4 linked regions of the Rhinolophus ferrumequinum genome follow. The protein of the gene in region 1 interacts with the protein of each later gene in a pairwise test. Links are inferred from orthologs where the notes say so. Each region holds a gene or a part of one and is shown in the gene's direction. Other genes may lie near its edges. The genes, in order: NUP62, FABP3, CRCT1 and HSF2.

The links.
Region 2: the proteins of NUP62 (region 1) and FABP3 interact in binary tests that used the Homo sapiens proteins (3 or more experiments, as listed by UniProt). The two-hybrid records come from large-scale screens. The link is inferred for Rhinolophus ferrumequinum from reciprocal best matches to the Homo sapiens genes NUP62 and FABP3.
Region 3: the proteins of NUP62 (region 1) and CRCT1 interact in binary tests that used the Homo sapiens proteins (3 or more experiments, as listed by UniProt). The two-hybrid records come from large-scale screens. The link is inferred for Rhinolophus ferrumequinum from reciprocal best matches to the Homo sapiens genes NUP62 and CRCT1.
Region 4: the proteins of NUP62 (region 1) and HSF2 interact in binary tests that used the Homo sapiens proteins (3 or more experiments, as listed by UniProt). The link is inferred for Rhinolophus ferrumequinum from reciprocal best matches to the Homo sapiens genes NUP62 and HSF2.

Annotation. Positions count from the first base shown.
Region 1 is NC_046298.1:44,951,451-44,959,047, reverse strand, and holds the start of NUP62 (nuclear pore glycoprotein p62), read left to right. Parts: upstream 1-4,589; 5' UTR 4,590-4,724; exon of another isoform or gene 4,725-4,786; intron 4,787-7,597. Other genes in the region: ATF5 (cyclic AMP-dependent transcription factor ATF-5), read right to left, coding at 1,579-2,240, 3,012-3,189. UniProt on the Homo sapiens protein: Essential component of the nuclear pore complex. The N-terminal is probably involved in nucleocytoplasmic transport.
Region 2 is NC_046292.1:21,496,568-21,504,346, reverse strand, and holds the start of FABP3 (fatty acid-binding protein, heart), read left to right. Parts: upstream 1-4,774; 5' UTR 4,775-4,864; coding exon 4,865-4,937; intron 4,938-7,779. Other genes in the region: SERINC2 (serine incorporator 2), read right to left, coding at 4,325-4,390. UniProt on the Homo sapiens protein: FABPs are thought to play a role in the intracellular transport of long-chain fatty acids and their acyl-CoA esters.
Region 3 is NC_046305.1:52,054,986-52,062,076, forward strand, and holds CRCT1 (cysteine-rich C-terminal protein 1), read left to right. Parts: upstream 1-4,736; 5' UTR 4,737-4,890; intron 4,891-5,894; 5' UTR 5,895-5,915; coding exon 5,916-6,266; 3' UTR 6,267-6,581; downstream 6,582-7,091.
Region 4 is NC_046286.1:71,759,410-71,766,733, forward strand, and holds the start of HSF2 (heat shock factor protein 2), read left to right. Parts: upstream 1-4,321; 5' UTR 4,322-4,453; coding exon 4,454-4,546; intron 4,547-7,324. UniProt on the Homo sapiens protein: DNA-binding protein that specifically binds heat shock promoter elements (HSE) and activates transcription. In higher eukaryotes, HSF is unable to bind to the HSE unless the cells are heat shocked.

The DNA of each region.
Region 1 (7,597 bases):
TTGCAGAGTTCAGGCTTAAAATTGCAAGTCCTCATATGTAACAAAAGGCTACAGGCTAAGCTATCAAGGGTGAACAAGAATTAAACTCATTCCCCTGGTTTATGGAATTACAAGTGTCAAACAAAAACAAATTGCGGGAGGATGGGAAGCATGAAGTTTATTCTGGAGTGATGGCGGAACTGTTTTTAACTAGATAGAGGTGGTGGCTGCACAACACTACGAAAGTACTAATGTCAGTGAGTTGCTCACTTTAAAAATGGTTCTTCATCCAAAACCTAACAGTACCTTCCTTTTGCATTAACTGAAATAATGTCAACTGCTTAAAATACTGTCTGGCATCAGTTGGTTAGATCGTGGTGCTAATAACACCAAGGTTGCCAGTTCGATCCCCACACGTGCCACTGAGTTGTGCCCTCCTTAAAAAAAAAAAAAATAGTGCCTGCCACATAGTTGAGCCCTCAACAGATAGATGTAGGGGACCATCCCCACTATGGCTACCAGGCCATCTCCCACTTACCTCCCAAATACCCCTGGGAGGCTTTCATCAACAAGGGGCTCCTCCACATGGGGTACCCCACAACTCTTGTTGCAGCTGTCCAGCCCGTTTTGTTTGCGTGTCACCCGTTTTGGTGTGTGATGAGGGCCATGGGGCGCTGGCACCTTTAGCTATCCTTTGTTTTGCTATCTATGTAAGTAATTAAGGGTCTGAATCTAAAAGTGGGTCTTGCATCATTACCAGTTCAATCAGTCCCATCGTGACCTGGGCCGTGTACCAAGTGTTGTGTGCTTGACCATAAGTACTATCTGTTATTTCTATTGTCATTGTCTTTGGCTTACAACTGCCCTCTCCCAACTTCTTCTCTCAAAGACAAGACGCTCAGACCAGAAGTTATTTATTTTATTTCCACCACAACCCCCAAAAGGATCGCTCCCGCCCTCTCTCACCTAGATGCAGCCCCTGCCCCAACACCTTCACAAAACACTGATTTCCTCCCAGAGCTAAAGTGAACACCCACTCACCAACTATGGCCACACCCACTCTGCCCAGCTCCCCATCTGCCTCCAGAGCCACCAGCTCTTCAAACTTGCCTACCTTTTGGCTCCCTGCCCAAATGTAGTTTCCCAAGGTCAGCTCGCTTGCTTGTTCTGCTTATGTTATTATATGGGTGCCATTCTTAAAACCCTCTCTGACTTATTCCCTAGACGGCTCTCCTGTGCTCATTTACAGTCATTCTGCACAGCTTTCTGGCCTCACAGCCCCGTTCGAGAGCTGGTTTCCAAGCTCTCCCCTGCTCCCTGAACTCCCGGGGGCCTCAGTCTCTCAGCTGTCACTTGAAAAGTGTAGGTGTTGACTAAGGCCAAATGATCCATGATTCTGAGGAGAAGGGGAGCAACATGGACAAGAAATGGACAAGAAAGGAGACAAGGATAAAAGGAGAGAGAGAGAGAAGGGGGGGCTTTGGAAAGAAGCTAGAGGCAGAGGGATGATGGGGGGACCCTCCCATCTCAGCCCCAGAAACAGAAGTGAGCCAGAGCCGGAGACCAGTGCCCCCTACCGCCCGAAGCCCTGCCTGTCTCCTAGCTCTTGCGGGTCCTCTGGCTTCGAGCCTTGTACACTTCGATGAGCAGGTCCTTGACATATTGGATCTCCCGCTCCACAGACTCAGCCCTCTCCCTCAGCTCCCGGTTCCGTGCCTCCAGCCCCTGACACTCGCCCTCCAGGGCCTCACCCTCTGCCCGCTTCCTCTGTCTGTACCTCAAAGCAGCTGACTTGTTCTGGTCTCTCTTCTTTTGCTTGCGGTCCCCTCGAGTGATGGCAGGACTGGGGTAGGGGGCTGGGCGAGAGGTTTGAGGTAGAGGAGGGCGCTGCTGTGGTGGGGGCATGGGAGCCAAACCCGAATCCCCCTGCCCAGCCTCACTGCGGCAGTAGATGGCCAGCAAGTCTAGGGTGTCCAGGGCAGGGGGCTGGTGGAGGTCAAAGGTGGGGGGTAGGGGGACAGGGAGGGAGGGTGCCGCTTGTGGTGGTGGCTGTGGTGGTGGGGAGGATGGTGGGAGGAGTGGGGCATCAAGGAAGAAGTCTTCCATCTGCTCCAGCTCCTTCTTGAGGAGCGAGGCCATGGCTTCCAGGTCAGGGGAGGGTGGGGAAGGTGGGGGAAGGGCACCTGAGGGTAAGGGGGGCTCCAGAGGGAGAAGGGCTGTAAAGTCCACCCGTTCAGTCATCCAATCAGAGAAGCCATCACCTGGAGGATTGGAGGAAGACAACCAATGAACCAGTCAAACGTCTAACCAGTCAACTAACCAACCAACCAACTAACCAGTCAACCAACCAACAACCAGTGGACCAGCCAACCAATCAACTATCTGATTCAGTAACCAACCAATCAACCCTTTTCACCGACCAATCAATGAACTAGTCAACCAACCAATGACCAAAACAAAACAGTCAACCAACCATTTCTTCAACCATTCCAACATTCTCTTTACTGAGTAACCCACATCTGTGATTTGATTTACTTTCTAGTTTCTTCTTAAAACACAAACTCGATCACACATACACAATACACCCTGTTTCACCTTTAATTAATTATTGAAAACCCACTATATGACAAGCATTGGGGACACACTAAAGGAATAAAATAATCCGTCTCAGGGCTTCTGCATATGCTATTTTCTCCACCTAAACAGTTCTTCCCTTGGGTCTTTTCATAGCTCATTCCTTCCCATCCTTTAGGCTTCAGCCAAAACATTACCTACTTGGAGAGGGTTTCCTGGCTATGGACTTTAAACTAGGTCCACAATGTCATTTTGTAGCTAGAGTGTGAGCTCCAGGAGGGCAGGGATGTCAGTCTTGTTCCCAGCTATATCCCCGGCACCTAAAATAGTGCCTGGCATATTACAGGTGCTTAATAATTATTTATCAAATGAATGTATGAATGAATAAATTCTCCCTCCTTCTGTCTTGTGCCCCACACCACAGCTCCACACCACCTCCATTCTTCACCTGTCCTTACCTGCCAGGGGCTCTCCCCCCCCTGGAAGCCCGCCCTCCAGGGCTCCCCCAAGGACCTCATAGGGGCCCAGGGGGGCAGGGGCCAGGGGGAGTTTCCCATAGTCTAGGAGCCAGCTCAGCCCGCTAGCTGGGAGCAGGGCCCTGTCCAGCTCCAGCCCCAGGGTGGCCAGGAGTGACATGGCTGCAGCACAGGCGCTGGGAACCAATGGCAATGAAGGAAGCTGCACCAACAAGTGAAAGGAGGCTCTGGAGGTCGCTCAGTTGGCCGAAGACAGGCACCAAGGTGAAAGTGGAGGACCTACACGTGTGAGACAAAAGTGGGCAGGGTCATAGGCGAACCTCACTCACCGCCAAAGTCGCAGGGAAACCAAGTTCTACTCCCACATCCCGGGGGGCAGGGGGCGCTGAGGGGGGGGACCCCTCCCTTTCCCTTCCAACTGGGTTGGGACTATGCCTCGCCCTCAGAATTCTAAATCTGCCCTTTCCCCAAATCTGAGCCCCACCCACTCCCAAGGGGATTCTCTTTAGGCCCGACTTTATTTTCTTCAAAATTCCCGACCCAATCCTCCAATACAGAAACATAATGGTTTCCCAAGGGAATTATCTTAAGCCCTTCCCACCCACCCCATAATATTCCTTCAGTAAAAAAAACTCAGTCCCAGGGGAATTTTCTTCCAGCCACACTCCTTTCTCTAAAATACTTCCTTTAGGCCCCACCCCCTCCCTAGGTCCCATCTCAAATCAGTTCCCAGGGGAATTCGCCCTGCCCCACCCCTTCACCAATGTTATCTATTCAAATCCTGCAGGGACTACCGTTATTCCGCCCCCCAGCCCCGCCCCACTATCTTAGCTGCACCCCTCCCCCGCAGGCCCCTATTATTTCTCCAATCGAAACCCCACCCCTCATCTAACGGTTCGCTTAGCCCCGCCCCTTCGCATAATACTCTCCCTAGCCTTATCGTTCGTCAAGGCTGAGATCCTAGCTCCACCCCCTTGTCTTTACGCTCTGCCTTCTACCCAGTCAGTGTAAACTAGCACCCGCCCCAGCAGATGCCTGAATGAAAGGGAGAGACGCTATGCTGCGCGCCTAAGCGATGTGGAGCAGGCGACTAAGCAACGTGGACCAGGGAAGGTGGAGGTGGCCAGCAGAGAACAGCTCTCTACGCCAACCTTCCACACTTGGCTCTCTCGCCGAGGGCCAAATTTGGCGCAGCTCCACCACCAGAACGGTCCCATTGTTCTCACGTCTACGCGGGGGGGCGTCAGTGCGCATGTGCAGCCGCCTACTGCCAGCCCTTCGCACAATATGGGCTCTGGTGGGCTGACGCGCATGAGCAACAGCGCGAAGACAGACTCGTTCCGGAAGAAGGAAAAAAAAAACTCTCTGAGGGCTGGTGCGCAGGCGCAACCGTACGCAGGCCATCTATAAACGCCAACGCAAGAAAAAGACACCCTCCCCCACCATCGGGCCGAGTACGCATGCTCGGCCGCGCGCCCATGCTGGTTTTCCCTCTTCTGCGCCTGCGCGACCGTGATCCCTCACTTTCGTCTCCCCAACCTCCAAGCCTGGTGGTGAGGGCCGCGAGCTTCGAAACGGCGGGAAAGGCGGTTGGAGAGGGAGGGGTGAACGGTTACTCACTCCATGGCTGTGGAAAGGAGAGGCAGCGGCGGCCTCGGCTGAATAAAGAAGGCAGGAGCGAAGAGCGCAGGCGCGGTGAGCGCGGAGACGGGCGGGGGGCACGGAGGGTTCGCAGCTACAGAGCCATGGCCGGGGCTTCGCGGGCAAAGGCGGCTTCGCCGTAGTGTGAGGAGAGATCGTGATCTGAGGATGGGGAATGTGGTGGCCCCGGGGAGTGGGAACAGATATATCTCGGGCGGCGCAGCACGGGACCGCCCGGATCCTTCCGCGCCCCGCCTCCGCGCGGTCCAACCCGGAGGCGGGCCTGGCCCCCTCCTCTTGGGCATCCGGCCCCCTCCTCCTTTCGACCCCTGGGGTTTGGCCCTCCCTTCCCGGTGGCTCTACGGTTCATCCCCCTTCTGCTGGCTCTGGCCCTCCTGCTCTCTCGATCCTAGGCCTGATTTCCTCCTCCCTGAGACCCTCACTGGTGAATTTCTCATTTCCTTTCCCCTGCTTCATGAATTTCCGGCCGGCCACACGCTCATCTCTGCTTTCCCCAACTGCCTGCTCACGCTGAGAACGCTTTTTGTGGGTTAGAGTCCCGCGAGTCCCAGCCTAAGCTCCATTCTAATCACATACCTGCCATGCTGGTCTTGGGCAAATAACTTCTCTAGCCTCATAGATAGGGAACTATCTATAATATTAGAATAACCAACTCTACCTAATGGGGTTATTTGTGAGAATTAAGGAAGTCGATGCCTGTGAAGACCTAAGCACAAAGACCCGCTTATACGTGTCTGTTCAACCTATTTTATTATTAATAGGAACTCGGGGGCCCCAGTCTCACACCCCCACACACGCACTCCCCGCAAAAGCCTCAGACACTTGACCATCCAGTACCAGCTAACAGGTCGTTCTTTTGTCTCCGTTCCTCCAAGGTGTCAATTTCCAGCCATCCCCACCCTCCCCCATTCCAAGTAATGGCCGCTCAGCCCCATCCTGGTGTAGGGGTGCAGAGAATCTGGCATCATCGCCCCCACTCCATCCTTTTCTCCCTCCCCTGCCCACCTTCCCTCAATCCTTGGCCGCAGCATTCCTTTCAGGCCAGTTGTTTCATTCTTCTGGCCCTGCCCCTCTCCCTGACTTCCTGAGACGCCCCCCAGTGGATCAGTCTCCCAACCCTGCCAAGAATGGGGGGACTTCCACTTCCATTTACTAAAAGAGAGCGAGCTTCCTGGCCATCTCCTCCCTGTGCGCTGGGTCCTCTGCCAGCCCAAATGGGTGTGGGTCTTTTCTCTGCTGCAGAAACCTGTCTTTCCCACCCTGCATCCATCCACGTCAAGACATTACCCTGGAGTTCAACCTTCATCACTTCTGTGGCAGTTATGAGACTGAAGCAAGATCCAGAGAAGGTGGGGGAACCCTGATCTTGAGAGTTACGTGGGCAGTAAAGAGAAGCGGGCTTCTGCCTTCCCCCTGGTTGCATGCAGGAAGTCCTTGGCATCTGAGCGCTTTGCCTTAGGGCACTTACCGTCCTCTCTGCCAGTATTTGAGCACTTGCCCTATATTTCCTCGAGTCTGTAGAGGCTCCATTATTACCTAGGCAGCACAGAGTAGTGGTTAAGACATAGATTCTGGAGCCCCGTTATTTAGGTTCAAACCCTGACGCACCGCACTTACTAGCCTTGTGGTACTGGCAGTTTCCCTTAGAAAGAAGAGGCCATTAATGGTACCTGCTTTTTAGGGCTGTTATGAGGATTAAATGAGTTAATCCAGGTCAAGCGCTTAGACTAGTGCCTGGCACACACGAGGTGCTATACACATAAGGGGTGGTGATGGTGGTGGTTACTGAGGTGGGATATATTTTATCTCCACTGCTAAGCAGTTAGTGCTTTAAAACTGTGATTGGTCTTCCACCTTTTAAGTGGAACTTCAGGACCGATCTCTTCCTACTTGTCAGTATAGAGATTTGAGCAAGACCAGGCAGGGTTAGGGTAGACGATTGGACAGACTGCTGGTAGTCGGATGGCACAGGCGCGCGCGTGCGCACACACACACACACAGTTTTTCTGAGAAGACCTTCTAGGTTATGTGTGGGAAGTAGGTAGAGTTGTTTTTTTTTAAATAAACTATTTGGGAATAATTCTAGGTTTACAGAAAAATTGCAAAAAAGATAGTGTACAGTTTCCATATACTCCTCACCTAATTTTTTCCATTGTTTTCATCTTACGTTACTGTGATACACTTGTCATAGCTGAAAAACCAACATCTCATCTGTACACGTCTATTAACTAAACTTCAACTTTATTCTGATTTCACTGGTTGTTCCCTATAGTCCTTTTTTGTTCCAGGATCCTGTCCAGGTTGCCATATGACATTTGTCATTGTGTCTCCTGATCTGCAGTCGTTTCTCTGACTTTCCTTGTCTTTTATGATCTTGACAGTTTTGAGGAGTGCTGGTCAGATATTCTATGGAATATCCCTCAGTTTGGTTTTGTCTCAGAGACTGGGACTATCGGTTTTTGAGGGGACGGTCAGGTAGGGTATTTTTTAATAACCAGAAAGGAGCTTGCTCAGTATGGGAGTCGTGCTGCGGCTGTGTGAGGTGTATGCCGACTGAGAAGGCCGTGGGGCAGGGATCCTGGTTCCCTGTCCCAGCCCCCGTACCGCCTTCTCTCTCTAGCTGTCCTATTCCACCCAGTTCAACTCTGATGCCAACTGCCCCACCCAAGCAGCTTGACTCAGACCTGCTGGGTGGGGGCCAGTTCTCCAGACTCAGCTCTCTAGCCCTTCCTGGCATATTCTAATTTATGGGCGGTGGGTCATCAGTGGCTGCCTGTGAGCCTGAGCCCTCGCTCATGCCCACCCCTGACCCGGACCTGTGGCCCCTCCAGGACTCAAACGCCTCAGCCTCCCCCACCTTCGCAGAGTAACCCAGCCTTTCCTTTCCAACTCGAGCTGGGGCTGGA
Region 2 (7,779 bases), on another chromosome or scaffold:
CTCTGTCTTTTGCCATCATTTGTTCTCTCAGACCCACAGTATCTAGAACTCTTAGGGAACAAGGAAGCGATTTCCTAGTGGCAGAAAGAACACTCCATTCCACCCACTGTGGCCGCAATCCCCCTGCATTGTGAGCTCAGGGAGGTGTGGATGGAAAAGAGAAAGTAATTTCACAGGGGATCTGATCATAAATTCCTAGCTGGGCAGGTTCTGGCAGTAGTCACACCCCAGGCATAGAACTGCTTTCGTAAAAGCCTTGTCTTTACCTTAAGCAAGCCCTGTCCATCGTCTCTATGCATCTAGGTTAACACCCCTTTGAAATGTCTCTTTTCAGACCCCTCCTTCTAAAGCATGAGCACCTTCAAGAGGGCACATAATCTTAACTGTCCTGTAATTCGATCCCTGCCTTGCTCTCTTCCATCTTCTTGTAATCTTCCTTAACCTCAAGTGCACAGAAGAAACTGCAAACTATTATCCTTGGCAGCATTTACCTCACTCTGTTGAGTTCTTGCTTCCAGGTGTATCTTTAATTAGGCTCCAATAAATTTTGGCAAAAATTCTCTACCGGTTTGGACATTTCTTACCTTAACAGAGGGCAAAAGTGGTGCCTCTCCTATTTACCCTGGATCCCCACTGAGCCCCAGCACAGTGCTTGGACACAGGAGGTGTTCGACTAAGAGTGGTAGAATGGACGAATTATTTAAAGAGAAAGGGAGAGATGAGGACACCTCTCTGCAGTCTCTGAAGGCTCTGGATGACCTTAGTGAGAAGGAGATAATACCTGCATGCTTTTCTATTGGTTCAAGGTCTCAAAGAGCCTTGATTCACTCTTGATCACCTCTGGGACAACTGCCCTGGGAGGAAATCCAAAAGGGAGAAGGGAGGTGGGGGCTGGGCACCATTCACTGAATATCAGTGTTAGGCTTTCCATATGTTATCTCTTTTCATCCTCATGACAGCCCTGAGAAGTAGATGGCCTTCCTCCATCTGGGAGGAAAGGAGACTCAGAAGGGGGAAGGGACTTGCTCAGGTCTCTAGCTAGTTAAGTGGCAGGCTTGGGATTTAGAGCCAGATACTGCTTTTGAATACCCCATGCACCAAGGGAGAGATTGAAGGATGTGGAGAAACCTAACGATTCTGAAGGGAACCAAAGTTTTGCTACTCTGAAGCTTCCATTTTGGGATATTGATTTTAAGTTGTTTATTACGAAACAAGACTCAGAAAGAACCTTTGACCCTCCCCCCTTTCCTCCCTGAGAGATTCAAGTGGAAAGGCCTACTCCAGAAAGGGATTCTGAGGATGGCTGCCTTAGCCTAACTTGAATTAAGTGTGGTAAATAAGAGGGCTTCAGGCAGAGGCCTGTTAGCTAGATGCCCCTGTGTCCGAGTTGCCTAGCAATAATTTGCCTCCAATGTGTGATGTGTGATGATCCCCTCTTCTTCAACTACCTATAAATCACGCGTTCTCACTTCTGAAATGGAACACCCCAGGCCCCTTCTTTTCTCCTTTCTACAAAAATGTCTTACATCCCCAATGTTGCCTCACTGTCTTTGGAATTTTCAAACTGATGTGAATTCCCCATGCGTATATGTTAATGTTTTATTTTCTCCTGTTAATCTGTCTGTGTTCATTTGGTTCTTGGCCCAGCTAGAAGAACTTAGGCAGTGGAAGGAAAAGTATCAATCTTTGTTTAGCCCCCACAATTCCATGGCAGACAGAGACCGAGCGCCACACCACCATTACCAGACAAAGAGAACATTTCCCAGTTGCAGGTAGTGGGGTGGGGTGGAGGCAGTCAGCATCTACAGAATGAGGCCGTCAAGGGGCAAAGGAAGGGGGTCGCTGTGTCCCTGGATCAGTGGAGCCTCCTGCTCAGCATCTTTGGCCCGTGCCTCTCGCATCGCTCCCTGTGCCAGCAGCACATCCCCCAATGGAGGTGTCCAGATGGGAGGGAGGATCCAGGGAACAGCTGAAGATGCTGAGTAGGCCTCCCTCCCCTCCCTCCCTATGGCCCCATGGATCACGCGGGGCTGCCAGCCCATCTCATTGGCTCTCTCCTGGTTACTCATCTCTCCTCTTCTCCATCTTTCCAGCCTGTGGTTGTCATGGAAACAGAGAACAGTGACATCAGCATAGGGTGAGGGCTGGTGAGATGCTGCTCTTCGCAGGGACTGGGCCTGCTGCCTACCAGATGTTATATCCACATCTGGATTGCCAAGATCAAGAAAGGGGGACAGGACAAGGAAAAGGGCTTACATTCCTTCCCCTTCCCAAATGTAGTGAGTATAACAGGCAAGGAGGATGCAGGTAATCGGAGGGAGGAGGGAGAGGATGAGAAGCAGGTGGAAAAGCGTAAGGTGTGGCATAGGAGTCAACTTTGGTGCCTCAGGACTGAGCTGCGGTGGGGAGATGGTCGTAGGGCAGTGAGAACAGCAGGTCTCGGGTTTGTCTGGAGTTCCTCAAAGCACCACGCTGCTTAACACAGGCAGGGCCCAAGAGAGCAAGCAAAATGACTTTCTGGCAGCATCCCCCTCAACCCCTCCCATAGATCTCTATAGCCCCTTCCTCACGGCTGCAGCAGTTTCTAACTCTGTCTCAAAAATACGAAAATTGAGGATTAGAGAAGCAAAGCAATCTGCCTTGGGAGGCCCAGCAGGTGATGAGCAGAGCTCAGACCAGGTGTTGGGAGTCCTGCATTCTCCACTGAGATTATAACAGCAGCAGCAGCAGAAGAGAACATTTATTAAGCATACCATGCTCAGCATTTTCAATGCATCATCTCATTTGATCCCCAAACACCTCTATGGGGTAAATGCTATTTATCATTACCTCCATTTTTAAGATGAAACTGAGACTTAGAGTGCCTTAAGTGAATTGCCCATGGCCACATAGCTAGAACTCAATGGTATGAGAATTAGAACACAGATTTATCTGCCAGCAGCTGTTAGCCCAACCCCAGATCTCCATCACTGCGTTATAAGGACTACGGAGAGAGAGAGCTCTTGTCCCTGGGTCTCTAGCCACTCAGTGCTTGAGCGAGGACGCTGTGTGTCTAAAGGCTGTGACCTTGAGTTAGAAACCATCCCACTCCCCTCCTTGCCCCCCCTCTACCCCCCCACACACACTTGCTCTGGCAGTGAAGTCACCAGGGCTCCATGCCAAGCCCTGAGGCCTGTCCCTGAAGCTTTGGCAGAAATAGGCCTCTCAGTCTTCTGGCAAGTGAATCTGTCCAAAATAATCAGGACCTTGGGGGAGAGAGGGCTCTTCCTCCCTGGCCTCCTTCCCAGAAAGTGAGGGGAAGGAAGGTAGGAGCCTATGTTCTCCACTTCCACGTGGGGAAACAAAGGCCCAGGAAGGAGGGTCCACCACGCTGTATATGGCAGAGCTGGCAGGAGCCCAGGGCTACTAGGCCTGCAGCTCCTGCATATCCCCCTGGGTGAACCTCTGCTGGTTGAAGTTCAGTTGGGAATTTGCTTATCCCTCACTTCCTCCAGGAAGTCTCCCCTGAACCCCAAATCAGGACAGGCCTCCCTTTACAGTCACCATGCTAGTTTTGTATCTGCCTACCCAAAGGTGAGCTGTGTGAGTGTGTGTCTTATTACGGTTGTCTCTCCAGAGCCTAGCCCTGGGCCTGGCACAAAGTAGGTGCTTTAATGAATGGTTAAGAAATGAATGGTTCCTCTACGCTTCAGTTTGCTTATCTGTAAAACCGGGATAATAACAACACCTACCTCACGGACTTTGTTAAAAAGTCCTATGAGACCCTCAGCACGCAATAAACATCAATACGAGGTGTGTCTTATCAACAGAGCTTTGTAAACTAGAACGTGCAGAAAAACCACTGGGTAGTTTCTTCAAAGGAGGCGACTGACCGCTTGCTTGTGGGCAGAGGTCAGAGAAAGGACAGCAGGTGAGGGCTGTAGCAGTCCGGCAGGTAGGGGACAGAATTTCTGAAGGAGGACAAGCGAACCGATCACAGCAAATGCCAGAGCTGTGCACAGAGGTCAGAAAAGCCTGGAGCCTTGACAGGGTGGATGGGCAGTTGGACTGCTGGGTGGAAAGGCACATGCGGGAGACATTCCGCAGGGAGGGGAGAGCACGTGTGGAGCGGGCAGGGCCTGAAAGGATAATGCTTTCGCCCCCAGCAGGTACAGGGGCAGCTCTGCTGCCCATGGAGTCCCTAGTGACTCTCCCCGCCACCGAGCAGTGGGGCGTGGCGGGAGAGCGCAGATTCTGGTGCCAACTAGACCAGGCTTGCAATCTGGGCTCCAATTCACCCTTTCATTTACTGTGACCTTGTCAGTTCCCCTGTTGGTCTGCTCACCTGCAAAATGAGGACCAAGATGCCTGCGCCGCGAAGAGTAAGCCAGAGCTTTCCCGGCGTGGGCATCAGCCCAAGGGCGAGTTTCTTTTCTCCTCCAGTCTCTCATCTCTGCTCTAACTCCAAAATCAGGGAGGGACTGGGGGGATGGAAGACGTCTGCGGTATGCGCCCCAGCTCGCGGGCATCGTGCCCCCAGCTGCTTCCTTCTCAGATTCCAAAGAGCGCCTTGAGGCCAGGGAGGGAGCCGGTCTTGCCAGCCCGGGATAGGGGCTCGGAGGCCCGGCATCCGCGCTGACGCAGGCGAGCAGAACGCCACTGGCTGCCCCCTCCGCTTCGGCGGGCTGGGGGATGGGCGGCCAACCCCTGGAGGGTAAGAGCCAGCCCGGGGCTTCCTATTTCGGGAGCGGGGGTGTGGGCCACGCCTCATCACGTGATGCCAGGGCTATTTAAAGCGGTAGCGCGGGCTAGGAGCTGCGGGTCCTGGAGTCCCTTCCACACCAGCTTTGTCGCTTCTTCTTTCTCAGCGTAGCCCAGCCTCACCATGGTGGACGCCTTCGTGGGCACCTGGAAGCTAGTGGACAGCAAGAATTTCGATGACTACATGAAGTCAATCGGTGAGCGGGATGCTGGTCTGGGGAGGGGTTGGCCACGTGTCCAGACCGGCGCAGCGCTCCCTCCCTGGCTGGTACCCTGCTCGCCTGCTGCGTCCCTCCTGGCCAAGGTTGGGGGGTAAGGTTGGGCGGAAAAGGTGGCAGCCTGGCCTAGGGCATGTGAGGCGTGACGGGAGGGGGCTTTCACCGTCTGAAGCTGGTGAGAGGGATTGCCAGGTAGGAAGGCGCAAGGAGGCAGATGTGCTGGTGGATTTGGGGGTAGAAAGGTGCTTTTGAGGAAGAAAGGTATATGATCTGGAGGTAGGGATAGGGTCTGCATAAAAAGAGAGCACTGACTGAAGACGGTGGGATGCTAGCCAAGGGAGGAAAAGAATAGGAGCATAGGTGGTTTAGGAATTGGAGATGTGAACAGAGAAAGGGAAAGGGGTGACCAGGGAGTATACTGTGGCCTACAGAAGTAGGAAATTTCCAGGAGGAGGGAGATGGAAGAGTGGGGAAGGGCAGTGATGGGATAGGAAAAGGAGGTGGGATAGGGGCCTGCATAGTTAGCAACAATCCCTGCCCCTCCATGCTGGGTAGGGAAAAGGATTTCCCCTGGAGGATTCCTTCTTTCTCACCAGCCAGTCTCTGACCTTGTCCCGCGGTGGTGTGTAACCTGGCTTTAATCACTGCCAGTGAGCCTAGTGGTAGGGTGAGGCAAGAAGTCCCCAAATCACCTAGAACCCAAGGCTCAAGCACTTGTTGGGGACGGGTATGATGGAGAAAGCCACTGGACTTCCCGAGTGCAGCAAAGGGTCCTGGAGCAAGGCCATGACCTGTTAAAGGCAGGGCGGGTCTCTGGTCTAAAAGGGTGTGGTGTTGGGATGCACAAAGGTAAAAATTCAAAGAATCTTACCGGTGAGGTCCTTGGAAACCCCTATACCTTGCCTAGTTCAACAGATGGGGAAACTGAGACACAGAGAAAGTAGAAACGTCATAAAAATTCCACAGCAGAGATGAAACCCTAGATTTCTAGATCTGCAACCCAGATCAGCTCCCATATAGCCCCTAGGTTTGGGAGTGGTTGGAACTCCTTAGCTAAGGACTGACCTCACCCCTTCCCCTCCTAGTATGTGCTTAGATGGAGAGGGTGATAACTGTGTTTCCCGGAAAATAAGCCTCAGTTAAGATCTCAACCAGATGGATGCATTTAGTACGCTATGACAATGTTCCAGAAGATGACATGACTGACTGTAATTGGATAAATGTAGATTGTTGTACATGAAAAAAATAAGACATCCCCTGAAAATAAGCCCTAATGGAGCAAAAATTAATATAAGACCTGGTCTTATTTTCGGGACAACACGATACCCTTTCCTGAAATCCCCGGCTATGAGATTATCCTAGTTCCCCAGGCTGGGACAGGGAAAACTGGAATGTTGGTCATGGTGGAGTTACGTTCCCTGCCTTAGTCCCAGGGAATGCTGGCTGGATTACATCAGATACCCGAGGGGGAGGGGCACTCCAGACACCGCTCACTTCTGTTCCTAACCACAAGTGTTGGCCCTGGAGGCCCCAAAGCCCCTACCTTGTACTGGGTACTACACCTGGACTCCAGGAAGGCAGCCATTCTTGGAGAAGCAGGGGGCCCTGGGCAGCTGTTGGGAAAGTTGGGGTGCCCAGGGTTAGCTCCTCCTCCCAAGCCTCCCACAGCAGACATTCAAGCTGAAGACCTGGGTCCCTGAAGTATGCTGCAACGTGCTTACCACCATTGCCCCCCCTTGGGCTAGGGGGCTAAGAGTCCATCCAACTTGCTTCTCTTGTACAAACTGAAAGGCTGAGGCCCATAGGGAGAAAAGGCCCTCCTCAGCTCTCTCAGTAAATAGCTCGTGTCATTTCTAAGAACTCAGCTCTTCCTAAATCCTCTAAATTCTGTCAGCCCAGTTTCAGTCTCGGTCCCTCCCTCACTCCACAGGTTTCCTTCCTCAAACACTCCATCCCTCCAGGTGGGTCCGATGCAAACAGAACTCCTTGTGCAGTGGCAAGGCCCAGGAGTGGAACTGGCCTCATCCTGACAGTAGGGGGCGAGGCCAAGTCCCTCACTGGCCAGGCAGGGTGGGCCAGCCGCGGCACAGCTGCAGAGGCTGCCTGTGCCCCTCGTTTTAGACCAAAAGTTCTCAGGGGGCAATGAGGCTCAGCCTCGGTCAGTAATTGCAGGCACATGTCACAGGAAGCCGAATGGCCCAGGAAGAGTAGTGAACAGTTCTGGAGCCTAGATTCAAATCTAGGTCAATCACTTACTCTTTGATTTTTGGGCAAGTCACTTCACTCTCTGAGCCTCGTTTGTAAATTGGGGGTATTAAAACCTACCGTTCATGGCTATTATGAGCATTTAAGTACAATAACCCATGGAGGGCATGGGTTAAGTACCTAGCTGCCAACAAGCACTGTGTAGCCAATCACATCTGGGGACTTGACACACACCACCTCACCCCACTGGGCTGCTCCAGCCTCGCCTCTGCCCTGGAGGACAGGTCAGCATAGGCTGCTGGGGGCAGAGGGGCGGGGAAGCTATGATGGGAGGTAAGATGCAAAAAATCGCAGGGACACACCTTAGACTTTGCTTACGAGCTCTTTGTTTTGTACTCTCTTGCAGGACACTTAGGGTTTTACCCAAAACCCAGGGAAGCCATGCTTGGGTCAGGAAGGGAGCCCCCACTGGGCCTTAGACTAGGAACCAGCAGACCTGGATTCGAGTTCTGACTGCACTACCACTTTAGGCCTCTCCTAAATCTGTACACTGAGACAGACATGCCTTCCGCCTACCTCCCAGATCTGGGATAAGAGGCTTTGAAGATGTTTTGTT
Region 3 (7,091 bases), on another chromosome or scaffold:
ACGGGGAGCATAGCAGAGCTGCCTGTGAGATTGGCAGGCGTGTGTGTGTGTGTGTGTGTGTGTGTGTGTGTGTGTGAGTGTAATCCTCCAAGCTCCATCACCACCACAGGCCTGCAATTCTCTCTGTGCCTTAGTGCTTGTCATGCTTATGGGGGGAGGAATCTGGTCCTTGGATGTGAGGGGAGGGTAGTCACCCGGGGCCCTTGGGAAAGAAGCTCTCAGCACCTACTGATGCCAGCTCAGGGCTGGGTCTGTATAAAAGGCAGGAGCTTCTGACAGCTCAGTTCACCTGCCTCCTGGGTGTCCTGCTCCAGTCCCTGAAGCAGGTAAAGCCCATCTCGAGGACCTGCAGGGACTCTTGGTGCTGGCATTTGGGGCAGAGTGAAGCCCTGGGCGGAGGACAGTATTGAGAAAAGACAAGAAGGGAGGACATGGAGGGCGGGCTGTGCTGCAAGGGGAGGGTGGAAGGCGGGGAAGCAGAATCGGTGTCTTTTGGAAGCTGCACTTGAAGTTACTGGAGTTCCTGGGCGGAAACCTTTGGCCTGTTTCTTGTAACTGATTTTGCGAGACTGAGTTTGAAAAATATGATCATCATAAAAATGAAATCTTGTGAATTCACATTTCACTGTTGAATGCAAGGGCGTTGTGTCGAGTTAGTTGAACTTAAAACTTCTGTATTGTCTTTCGGCTTCATTCGGCTCCTGCCAACATGTCCTGCCAGCAGAACCAGCAGCAGTGCCAGCCCCCTCCCAAGTGTCCCCCCAAGAGTCTCCCCAAATGTCCACCCAAGTGTCCTCCCAAATGTCCCCCCCAGTGCCCAGCCCCCTGCCCACCTCCAGTCTCTTCCGGTTGTGGGCCTGGGGGTGGGGGCTGCTGTTGCCCCAACTCTGGGGGCGGGGGCTGCTGCCTGGGCCACCACAGGCCCCGCCGATCTCTGCGCCGCCGACACCACTACTCTGACTGCTGTGGCAGTGGAGGCGGCAACCAATCTGGGGGCTCTGGCTGCTGCTCTGGGGGCTCCAGCTGTTGTTCTGGGGGCTCCGGCTGCTGCTGACGTGGCCGTGAGTAGCACCGAGGAGCCGCTTTACAGGAGCCAAGGTGCCCACGACCCAGCCCTGTGGCTTCTCCTCCTTCCCCAGGGAATGGTGGCCTCAGCTCCTGTCTCCTTGCGCCCGTGTTCCTCCGCTGTGAGGAGGGCCAGAGGGCTGACCTGGGTCTTCGCCTGACTCTACCCTCGGACACACTTCTTTGGCGACTGGTGTTGCAGTGCAGTTAGGCCGCTGTTTTCTCTGCCACAATAAAGCTTTCTCACCCGGATGCCACAGCCTCCTGGTGAAGTTATGTCCACCTCTCCCACTCCCCGCCCCTTCTCTGAAGTGCACGTGAACCCTTTAAAAATCAGTCTGGGAAGCAATTTGGCAGTGAAGCCCCTTAGACCGCTGGGAAACATACTCCCGTTGGCGCATTGAATGTGGGAACGTGAAGTTGAAGGGGAGAGTCCTGTCTGAGACCATCACGTTGACACAAGTCTTGCAGGGCGAGAGTTGGGGACAGGTTTTCGGGGCGGAAAGGATGGCGATACCCAGAAGGGTCACACTGAGATGAGCTACTCCCGGACGGTTTCCTTCAAGCAAAGGTGAGGGTTAAAAAGGGCTCTGTCTGCTGGTTATGGGAAGTAGGGCCACCCAAAGTGTTGGTTCTGGGCCCCAGTGAATGGACACCCTTTATTTCTCTGACTTCCAGGTGCTTCCATCCGTTGATTAGAGAAGAGCTGATGGGGGTTTCGTGAGTTTAGGAAGCAGGGATGAAATGTCTGAGCCCATTTTCCTGAAAGCCTGAGTTTGGGTCTGAGTAGAGAACCAAGAAGGACAACCTCCGCCATGTGGTTTGTGTGTGTGTGTGTGGGGGGGAGAGTGGTAGGAGGGAAGAGCAGGGGAGCTCTGGTGACTGTATCCAGTTTTCTGTTTCCTTTAGGCACAGGCTGATTCCTCAGGAGATATTTAGAATGGTTGCGATAGAAATGATAATTCCAACGCAGCCTTTTATGTACGAGATATGATAATTAAGTTCATGAACTGGCCACCGTGCGCTTACATTGGCAGCGCCGTGCAAACAGCCGGGGAAGGTTTCATAACCTTGGTATATCAGTGTCTCACAGCTGTGTCCGTGTCCACGTGTGGCGGTGTTTTGCTGAGTGGCGTTCATTATTGTTGTTGCGCTTTTGTGTGCCGGAGTATGTCTGAGCTTGAATTAGAGCCATGAACAAACATTACATTTCTTGTTAAACTTGGCAAAAGTGGAAGTGAAATCAGGGACATGTTAGTCCAAGTTTATGAGGTTAATGCCATGATGAAAATGGCCGTGTACAAATGTTTTTCTGAGGGGAGAGGACGTGTCACTGATGAAGAGAGGTCAGGGCAGCCAATAAAGAGCAGAGCTGACGAAAACATTGCAAAAATTCATCGAATAGTGTGTCAAAAATCTCTGGGTGACTGTGAGAAGCATAGCAGACCAACTAAACATAGATAGAGAAACAGGAAACTCTTAACTAAAAATCTTGGCATGAGAAAGGTGTGTGCAAAAATGGTCTCAAAGGAGTTCATTGATGAACAAAAACAAAGGAGAGTTGAAGATTGCCAAGACCTTTGGGAGAGGCAAGGTGATGTTTTGGGCCATGTTTTCACTCGTGATGAATGAATACGACCAATACGACCCTGAAACAGAGCATCAAAGTGCACAATGGACGTCAGCCATTCTCCAAGACCACTAATGTTCTGTCAGTCCAAATCAAGAGTCAAAATGATGTTGCTAACCTTTTTGACATCAGAGGGATTATTCATTATGAATTTGTACCAACTGGACAAACAGTTAACCAAGTTTATTATTTGGAAGTGCTGAAAAGGCTGCATGAAAAAGTTAGATGAAAACGACCTGATCTTTTCGCCAACAATTCGTGGCTCTTGCATCACGACAATGCACCAGCTCACACGGCACTATCTGTGAGGGAGTTTTTAGCCAGTAAACAAATAACTGTAGTGGAACACCCTCCCTACTTCCCTGACCTAGCCCCCAATGACTTCTTTCTTCACCCGAAGATAAAGGAAATATTGAAAGGAAGGCATTTTGATGACATTCAGGACATTAAGGGAAATACACTGATGGCCTTTCCAGAAAAACCATTCCAAAATTGCTTTGAGGGGTGGACTAGGCACTGGCATCGGTGCACAGCTTCTCCCAAGGGGGCTACTTTGAAGGTGACATAGTGATATTCAGCAGTGAGGTCTGGAGCACTTTTTGTAGGATGAATTTGCGAGCTTAATTGTCAGACCTGGTACAAGGTAAACAACTAGCCCTTCCTTTGGTATGAGTTAACAGTGACGGGTAACGTGAGTTAGTGTATGAGCTGGTACATGAGGACCAAGTCCACGTAATGAGCACAGACTTGCCTAAACCACCTCCCAGAGAAGAGCCTGTCCCCAGCTGGTGACTTCATTCCGTCTCTAATACTGACCTCACTTCTGGGAATGTCTCACCTGTACTCACCAACAGGTGACCCTTGGTGCATGCAACCTGTTAATCAGGCTCTGAAGCCATGGTAAATGAAACTGGTATCTTTTGTGACTTACCGTTCCTTGTCTGTTCCCTCGTGCCACCCCCAGCTCACGCACCCCCAAACCTACGTCTCACCATCAACTCTCAAATTCTTAGTCTTGGATTTCTTGGATCTCACATTCATGGTTGCGAGCAAGTACATTGATTAAGGAACAGTTATGAAGCCAGTTGACCTCCAAAGTCTCTCCCAAGTCTTAAAAGTTAGTTATTCTAAAACACCATTTCTCATGGACACTTGGAACCTTGGGAAAGACCTCTCTCTCTCTCTCTCTCTCTCTCTCTCTCTCTCTCTTTCTCTCTCTCTACCCCTCTCCCCCCTCCCCTTCCTTCCTTCCTTCCTTCTTTCCTTCCTTCCTTCCTTCCTTCCTTCCTTCCTTCCTTCCTTCCCTCCCTCTTTCCATTTGGCAATGGCCCCAAGGAGAACCTATCTTCAAAGGCAGTTTGGGATGGGCTGAGGAGCAGAGAGGCCGCAGGCTGGCTTGGCATTGCCGCAGAACCAGCCTCCTGCATACAGTTGTCTCTTTGATGTGGTAGCATGACTACATTCACAGCTTTTCTGGTCTTAATGGCTCCATAACTGCTTGGGTTTTTCTTCCTGCTTCCAGTGACAGAGAGACACTGCCACTGGGATTCCCACAGCCACATCCCTGCCGTCGCCTTCATTCAGTGCCATCTGGAAGCATCTGGATGAAACCCAGCAGGCTCCTCACTAGCGTGTGGCCTGACTCGAGGATCCAAGGCCCCAGAACCAGAGACACGCAAACCAGGACCCCGAGTGGATGAACGGCCAAGATATGACCACGCAGGGATGGATGTGTGAACGGGAGCGGTGTGTGTGTGTGTGTGTGTGTGTGTGTGTGTGTGTGTGTATGTGTGTATGAGTGTGTGTACACTGTGAAAAAGGGCAAACACAACAGGTCCTGCGAAAGGGCCGCAGACCTCTCCTCACTGCGTCTCCGTGCTGTGTCTTCACCCACACAGCCCTCCCAGCTATGACCCGTGTCCTGTTTGGAAAGTAAACATGCCACAACAATCCTGGCACCTCTGTGCAGTGAGTTCAACGTGCACGTGCACCACCTACAGTGTTACCTAAGTGACAAACGTCTCAGGGATGTGAGTGTCAGCTGAGCCTGTCTGTTGGGAAACAGGCTCCTCCCAAGGTCCAGCACCTATGGAATCTATAAAAGGTTTTCTCGCTGGAAGCTGGTCAGTCCACAGCCTAGCAGGTGGCCCGGTCCAGTTGGAAAGCTGAGTGTCTTCTGGTGGCGCCAGGGGCTGGTGAGTCTCTACACAGGGCCTGGGGAGGAGGCTGGGGAAAGGGGAAGGCAGGACACAGCTGGACGGAGAGCCCTGGAATGTGCACTAAGCGTCAGGTGAGCCAGCCTCTCATGGTACCAGTGAAGGCACGGAGGCCAGATGGGTTGGGGGGGCTTCCCGGGCAAGCCTGGAGCAGAGCTGTGGCTAGGACCCGGGTCATGGCCCCCCAGTCTGGGGTGCATTTCCACCTTGGGCGCCACTCTCCTGTTCCTGTGGTTGTGGTAAATGAGAGGCTAGGGCAGAGGAGACCTAGACAGAGATGCGTCGGGCCTTTGTGGATTCTTCAGACCCGCTTCGGGGATGCAGGCTGATCGGGGAGTTTCTGACGGCCGGGGCATGCATGCCGGGCCAGTAACTACGCGACCGTCACTTGGAAGTCTGTGGCCACATGAGATGGGAGACGGGAAGAGCCAGGAGAAGTTTGGACGGGATCCTACAGCTACCGTGTTTCCCCGAAAATAAGGCCTAGCCAGACCATCAGCTCTAATGCATCTTTTGCAGCAAAAATTAATATAAGACCCCGTCTTATATTATATTATGTTATGTTATGTTATGTTATATTCCGGATCTTATGTATTATAGACCTGATCTTACATTAATTTTTGCTCCACAAGATGTATTATTAGAGCTGATGATGGTCCGTCTAGGTCTTATTTTCTGGGAAACGGGATACATTGCTTCAGTGTCCTCGCTGTTTTCCACGGTGGAGAACTTGGGTGTTCCTTATTCTATCCCCAGAAATTAGGAAAGCACTGACTGTGCACAGACTGTTCCCCGCTCTGTGCACGTGTAACGCCCTGGAAACACCTCTTCGGGGGTTGGTTTCTTTGCTCCCCCTCTTTTCTTCCTCGCACCGGGCAGGCTGTCTTGCTCACACAGCCAAATCTCAAGCGCCACCAGTTCCACTGTTGGAAAGGAAACGTCTGTCGACCTCGCGTGTGAAAGGCTGCTTTTCTTTCTTGCAGGTTAACGGTGACGACCCCGCCATGTCCTCCCAGCAAAGCGCGGCTTTGGCCAAGGGCTATCCCAAGGGCGCTTCCCAGGGCTCCGCCCCGGCGCCCGCCCCGGTGCCCGCCCCGGTTCCCTCTTCCTCGTCCTCCTGCTGCGGCGGCGGCTGCTGCGGCGGCGACTCCGGTGGCTGCTGCGGGGACTCCGGCTGCTGCGGGGACTCCGGCTGCTGCGGCTCGGTGTCCACCGGTTGCTGCTGCTTCCCTAGGAGGCGCCGCCGGCAGCGCAGGAGCGGGAGCGGGTGCTGCGGGGGCGGCAGCCAGAGGTCGCAGTGCTCCGGCAACACCCAGAGCCAAGGCTGCTGCGGCAGCTGCTGCGGCGGCTGCTGAGACCCCCGCCGCCCCGAAGAGCCGTGCGACAGCCACCGGCCGGCCTGCAGTCTCTGCCTCCTCCGGTCACCAAGCTCGCGCTCAGGGCTGGGCCTCCGACTTTGACCCCCATCAAGCTAACTGCACTTGGACGTCCAGAAACCCAGCCTGTTCTCAGCCCGCAAAACTCCCTGACCCCTGTGTGATTTTCCTGCTTGGATGGGACACTGGACTCTACTGTCTGCATGGGCTTGCACGTAGTAGGTGTTCAGTAAAAGCCTATTGATCTGATTGCCTTTTAAAGACATGTCATAATAAAGCTACCTCCTGAGAACACCCCTCTGGCTGTTTGTGCTTTCCGTCTGTGTGTGTGTTGTGTTCTGCCACCCCTTCCACTTCCTCACTCAGCCCAGCTTTGGCATATTTGCAAAAGGCAGGAAACTGAAATAATCTCTGCTTGAACAAGGGTGCTTTTCTGGAACTTCATCACGACAGCAGAAGTCGCCTATGGAGCCAGGCAGTCTTCTAAGGATTGCAGTGACACGCGGCGTCTCATTTCATTCTCACGATGACTCAGTGAGGTAAGGGCTGTTATCCCCACTGTATAGAAGAGAAACTGAGGACGCATCACTTGATCAGTCACTCAGCCGGTACGTGATGGAGAAGACCAGATACCCAGCTCCAGGGCTTATGCTCCTAACTGCTCCGCTGGGTCCCCCCAAAACCTTCCAGAGCCTTGCCCACCCTCCTACCCGCTGGGCCCAGGCAACTGAGCCGCAAAGGTTTGCATCTGCCGCACCTGGCTTTGGAAACAGGCAGCTGAGACGTTTTTTGGCTTTTGTCCCA
Region 4 (7,324 bases), on another chromosome or scaffold:
CACTGATAGCTCCTCAATCACTTGCCTCTCAGTTAAGCTATGCTTAAGCTCTCCTTGTCTTCATTTTCTTCTCTTATTACCTAAAAAGTATATATGAACTGAGACTTAATAAATTGTAAGGAGTTTCCTTACTAGATAGAGGACATTTTACCCAAAGGGCTTCAAAAACTAAAACTATTCGTTCAACATATACTTATTAAGCCATTCCTGTATTATTTATTAGCATTGTGTTTACTGCTAAGGATACAAGAGTGAATGCTGCAAGCACAATCTGTCAGGCTAATGAGGGATTCCGAGAAGTAAATGAGCAATAGCAGTGTGGCAAATACCATGAAGGTCAAATTCCACATGCTATGGGAGCATATGGGAGAAACAACTAATCCACATTTGATGCTCATGGAAGACTAAATGGATGGTTAGCCCTCAAGATCGTGTATTCGTTGATTAATTCAACAAATATTTATTGAGAGGCTAATGTGTACCAGGCACTGTGATAGCCATTGTAGGTCAGAATAAATGTAAATATGACATAGTCTTATGTAGAGTTTCATAGTCTAATATGAAAAAAAAAACACATGAAAGTCAATAATTACAAATGATGCAATAAGGGCTGTAATAAATGTCTCCAGTGAAAGTGTCACAAAAAAGACGACTTATATATATGGAATTGTACTTGACCTTGAAGGTTAAGGAGGAACTCACAGGATAATGGGGAAGAAATGCTCTCCAGGCAGAGGCAACAGCTTGCAGAAATATTTAGAAGTATGAAAGAACATGGCCAGTAAGGTAACTACATGCAATTAGGTTTGGCTAAGGGTACTGTGTTTGTGAAGCGTTGTGGTCAGTGACTGGAATGGTAGGTAGCATCAGATCATAGAAGGTCTTTTATGCAACCTCAAGGGGTTTGGATTTATCCTGAAAATTATGGGAAATCACTAAATGGTTTTAAGTCAGGAAGTGACCTTTTCAGATTTGTGTTTTAAAAGATACCTGTAAAGATTGTGAGGATGGACTGGAGGAAGAAGCAATTCATCTGAACCTCAAAACCACTCTGTGAAGTGAGTATAGCAGGTATTTTCACTTCATTTATACAGAGGGATCCTACTTTGGAGGTGTCAAGTGATTTGCCTCACGTTTCCTAGGTCATTCCAAAATTGAACAAAATAACACTTTGTCCAGATAGGAATGTACGTGGAAACCTCAGTACAGTTGAGTAATGTTATCCTTGAAAATAATCTTTAAAAGTTCTGTTTCTACTGCTGATTCAAACTAATTTTGCATAATTGGTTAGACAGAATTTGTACAGTCTGAATCAGATGCTTTGAATCATCAAAGTGCTCCACAATATGCTTTTCTATTCCCTAGGCAAAGCCTGGGTCACTCATATTTTCTAATGTTATTCTAAATTTTCTAAATCTTACACTGCAGGCTACAAATGAGCCATGGAAATATTCCAACATTTTTATTTGGAGTCAGAAGGAGGCCACTCACTTTAAGAAAGTGACATTTGTATCCTTTAATATTGTAAACATTTCAAAATTGTTGACACTAGCTCAAATTTGTTTCTTCTGACATTTGTGGGATATTGTGGGTGGCAAATAATTGTGAATTAAAAAGCTTGGTTTTGTTTGCTGCTCGGTTTTATAAATAAGTGCAAATGAGCCAACGTTGATTTTCTCTTCCCTCAGAATGTCTCTAGTCAATAAAGTTTTCAAACAGTTTATTAATTACAATAAATATTAAGAATTAAGTTCATAGAAAAAGAAAATACAGTAGTGTAAATTATTCCTGAAATGGCTGGATTTTGTCAGGAGACGAAGGGTAACAAAAAGTCTGTATACGTTTGCAAGGAAAGGTTAGTTTACTAACTTTTTCTCTATAACAGTAGTTCTCAAAGTGTTGGCCCAGGACCAGCAGCATCTGTATCACCTGGCAACTTGTTAAAAATACAAAGTCTTAGCCTGAACCCTGTGAGTGGGGTTGGGGGAGAAGCAGCAATCTGTTTTTTCAGAAGCCCTCCAGGAGATTCTGGTGTAGGCTAAAGCTTGAGGCACGCTGGCGTAAAGGGAAAAAAAGCGTATGTTTCAGACTAGAAAAGACAAAATGGTTTCAATTCCAACTTCAGCCATGTGATTTTAGACACATCATCTATTTGCTGGGCCAACACCAGATATCTGGTTAATAACTTAGCTCCTTAGTTGTCCTTATGAGTTTTACAAATACTGCCTGATAAGTGATTTTTGTTCATTTGTTATATTGACAGTCTTTCCCCTCCAAGTGATTTGGATACATGCTTAATTTTGAGAACTATTGGTCTATGAGATCTAATACACTGGAAGCACACCAGTTACATAATCTAAGGGGCCAGTGCAAAATGAAAATGCAGGATCTCTTGTTCAAAAATTAAGAATTTCGAGATGGTGAGAGCAGAGCATTAAACCAAGTAAAGGGTTCTACTAAGCACAGGCCTATAACTGTACAGATTGAATGTCCAAAGAGGAGTTTCTGCTTGTATCTAATCACACCTTTTCTTTTTTCAGATGGAAATAATACAATGTCATGAAAAGAGGCCACATTTCTCCCTCATATACTACCAATCTTATCTCCTTAACTCTGCTGTTCATAGACAGACCACGCTCGTTAATCTCTCCATCTTTGCTCACTGTTGTCTTCCTTTAAGCTATCCAAATGTATTTGTACTCCAGACCCAACTTAAGGTCCCAGCCTCCATGAAGTCCTCCCTTACCATCTTAATTCACTTAACTCACTTAAACTCACTTAACTCACTTAAAAGTCACCTTAACTCACTTAAAGTTTTTGTAAACTTTTCAAGTACTTGTTTTATACCATAAATTTAGTTCTTAGTTTTTAAATATTAATGATTGCTGATCATTGTGTTCATGTTGTTTCTTGAATTAGAATATAAATTAAGCTTCAAGATGGTACCATCATCATACAATGGAAAGAGCACAGCATTTAGAGTCCTGGATGTAAAGTATCCTCTCTCATTTACTAATTGTGATGTAGGTAAATTAATTCACTTTGAGCCTTAGAATCTTCATTGGAAAAATGTGATAATAGTCCTACTTCCTAGGGTTGTTGTGAGGATTAAATGAGATAATACATATAAAATCCTGGGCACATATAAGGGCTCATCAAATATTAGTTTCTTTATCAGATGTATGCCACCATACATCTGATTTTGCTTCAGCAAACAGACCAGTGCTGAACATAAAAGTCAGTACTCAATAATCATTGCTCATTGGAAATGGTATTTTATTTTTTTAATGTATTATTTCACATGTTCCCAGTAAGCCAATCTTTTGTTAAGTTTTGTATAGTTTTATCATCACTGACTTGTTATAATTCTTTATAGTTTCAAAGCATTTGCACACCTGTTATGTTAGTATTACCTTACATGGGTGAAAAGAGAGATACTCCTATTCCCAATGAGGAAATGGAAAAGACTGGCACTGACAGATTAAGGAATTGCTCTAAATTACATGTTAGCAGTTAAATTTAATATCCACTAAAGTGTCCTCAAAGCTGGGTCTAAAAGATATGCTACTTGTCCAATATTTTTTTCCACCATAACCAAACTGTCTCCACAAACAATATCTCTGTAAAGCTCATATGGGAACAATTATTTTACTTGATTAAAATAGTGTAAGTAAGACTATTTCTTTTTATGCTGAGCATATAATGGGCATTCAATGTCTGTTGAATTAAAAACACCATGTAAGGCTCCTATTATAGATCCAGGTTCACAGCAGTACGTGCTTAGTAAAGAGTGAGTTATTTAAATTCCTCTTTTTGGTAAACGTATTTTAAAGGGCCCATTTTCTAATTAAAATTTAAGGTCAAGCTTCCTAATATCTAAGATAGTTTCAATGTGAGGCCTAGCACATCATGCTTGAAACCCAGCCCACACCCCCATCTGAATTACTATACTCCCTCCTGCTGACTGGCGCAAACCACACATTGCCCGCCACACATATGACTCAGGCCTGTGAGGACTTTTTGTAGACTCTCAGCCACAGCCCAGGAACCCAAAACTGTTTCCACGTGAAACAACCAAACACAGTAACCTAGGCCAAAAGTCCGCTACAGTGAAGGCTCTTGTATAAAAGGCGAATGAGAAGGCAGCGCCCCGTTCTGCTCCCACCCCCTTCACGTCCGCAGCATCCAATCGCTTATCTCTGTCCTGGGTCGGCGCCCGGGATTGGCCGGGAACGAGACCCGCGCGGGACCAGTGAGCACAGGCGAACGCGGAGACTTGTCTATCACGCGCGGCCTCGGGGCTTCCCCGCCTCGCGGAGCGCCTGGCGAGGTTGGGGGGCGGGCCCGGGAACCGCTGCGCCTGCGTTGTGGGCGTTCTCCCGGAGCAGCTGCAGCCGCCGCCGCTACCGCCGCGTTCGGCTATAGAATTTGGAATCCCTGCGCCTCGTTAACAATGAAGCAGAGTTCGAACGTGCCAGCTTTCCTCAGCAAGCTCTGGACGCTTGTGGAGGAAACCCACACCAACGAGTTCATCACCTGGAGCCAGGTACGGGTCAGGGTACGGCGGCCTCCGAACCCCCTGGCTTGTCGCCGCGTCTCTTGCTTTCTCCTGTAGCGTTGTGTCTTGCGGCCTGTGGCTCGACACCCTGTGCGAGGCCCATGGGGTGGCGGTGCGGCGCGGTCCTCGGCATTCGGAGTCGCGGAGAACCCCTTGTATTGTTCACGCAGGGAACTGCGAGGAGCCGCGGGGGTCCCGGCCGGCGCCGCTCGCCCAGGCCGCGGTGGGGGAGGGGCGGCCCGCCCGGAGCGCCGCGGTCCGGGAGGCCCCGTAACGGTCCGGCTCGTTCGGCGTTCGGAACCCGCCGGGCGGAGCGAGGGCGACGGTCGAGCCGAGGGCGCGGGAGCCACGTTACTGCACACTCATCCTTCGTCCTCCTGCCCGACTCGCGGTTTACGAATTGCTGAGGGCACAGGCAGCCCTGGGCCGGGATCTTCAAAGCCGGGGTTTAACAGAGGAAATCTCCCTCAACGACCCGATTATCGTCACTAAACACACACTCACTCACACACACACACTCACCCACCCACACCTCTTTGCATCTGAGATCTTTCTGAGGCAAGCAGAGAAGTAGGCAAACGTTCAAATGCAGGTTACTGCTTATCAGTAGGTTTTAAAATTGTAGAAAATGGTACATTATTCTTTGGAGATTCTGAGCCATTTGTATAAATGGATTTTTAAGATTAATTTAATAAAACTGTTAATAGACAGGTGTTCAGTAACTTAGCGAGGAGCTAAAATGAATCACTAAATTTCACAGGAACAGTTGCCCGCAGAGGTATATGGATGCCATGATTATTAGTTTGATCCCCACTGCCACTAAACCAGGATAAGCTCTTCTCTTGTCTGGCCTAAGTTTCATCACCCATGAGATGATTGGGTTGCCTAGATGATCTAAGACCCCATCTACTTCGAAATATTAAAATTCTGAGCGGAATGATTGTTGTTGCATAAACAGTGCATTTGTGTTAGAATGCACTCTTAGGCTTTTGGAATCATTTTGTGAAGGGGAGTGGATTTCTCCTGTGGTAGACCATCATCTGATCTGTTTGGGATATTTTCTTGTTAAAAGGTTTGGAAAAGAATAAGAAAAACCTACCTGCACAGTGTCTGGCACCTGTTAAATCTTGAGTAAATGTTATCTTCCTTCTTTCTCCATTTCTTTTCTGTTCCTTTCCTGTTACAAGAACTCTCAGTTTTATTATTTACTTTTGTCTTAACAGGGAGCACTATATTGAGTATATGAAGTTTTGACTACTATAACACCATATTATGTCTTACATTACTGTCATTTGTTCATTTTTTATCTTCTAGGACTTAATTTTCTTGAAGGTTGGTATCAGCTGGATGGTGTACATTAAGCATTTGATGAATTCTGTACAGTTTTACAAAGGTGAAAATAGGGAAGGCAGCCATCCGCATATGCTTAAAAATAAACAGATGTCTCATGCTTCTCATCAGTCAGAAGGATTAAAAGTTGACAAGGGTGGATCAGCACAGACTGCTGTTACTCAGTCTTGTATTCCTGTTGGAGATCGTACTGAGAGTACCCCCCCACCCAAGCTGACTTTTATACCATTTTGGCTTGCATGGGCCTTTTTGTTTTTATTGCCTAGAAATGGTAACTAAGTATATTGGTAATTGGTTTTAACTAAAGGGTATTATGTTGGTGTCAGGTCTGATGAATTCTCATTAGTCAAAATATTTTAATAACATTCTTATGGGCAGTATCAAACATGGAGAGTTTCAAACTAATACATAAATACGTAATGAATTCTAAGCCAAATAAACCACTTAAAAAGTCTTTCTTTATTTATCCCATTAAGTTGAAGCTTAACTACACATTTTCTAATACATAACGGGACATTTAAAATATAAGTGAGAACAGGAACAGTATCTATGCCAGGGACACAGTAGGTACTTAATAAATGTTTGATGAATCAGTAAAATCCTTGAAATATGTAATGGAAGAGTGGTAGGCATAATAAAGATAGACTTATGTTTGAAAAGAGTCTTACAGATCATCTTAGTTTAGCTTCATCGTTATATAGGTGAGAATTTGAGGCTTAGACAGGCCAGATGAGTTTTAATAATTACAAAGCTAGCCATTATTGGAGATGGAAACCTAACAGATTTCTGACCTAGATCAGTTGTCCACCAACATCACTACACTTAATATAGGTTGGCACAATATTTAGTTACCAAAATGTTACCCCTCCACAAGTCAGTGGACAGTTCTGGATTAATGTTGTCTAGGGCTGTTTAGTGGCTTAGGGAAGCTGTCTCTCTTACCCAGAGATTTTTCCAGAAGCAGTGTTAACAATGAAAGGTAAAACTTTAGTTAAACGATGTTAGATGGAAAAAAACAAAATAAGTTACGCTGATCCTTTAAAGTTTGCTATTTGTGGCGGTTTCTGGTTTCCTTCAAACTGGTCTTGCTGAAATTTTGTTGAGGTAATTTAGCACTTATACTTTCTAAGTGAAAATCATATTAAGACCTTTTAGAAGCGGCAGATGTTTTGGAAACCAGGCAATACTGTATGCAATATATGTATACTTTTTTACTTGAAAAATAATTTACTCCCCTAGCTTGAGTGTAAGGCAAGGGGAGAAAACTCTTACCAACTGCAGTTTGAAAAGCTTGGCTTAATATTCCTAAAGACGTAAATAACTTTAGTTTTCTTTGAAACTTGTTATATGACAAAAATGAAAAGTGAAATAAAACCCCCTTTGTCATCATCAAATATAGAAATATATTCCAAGTGA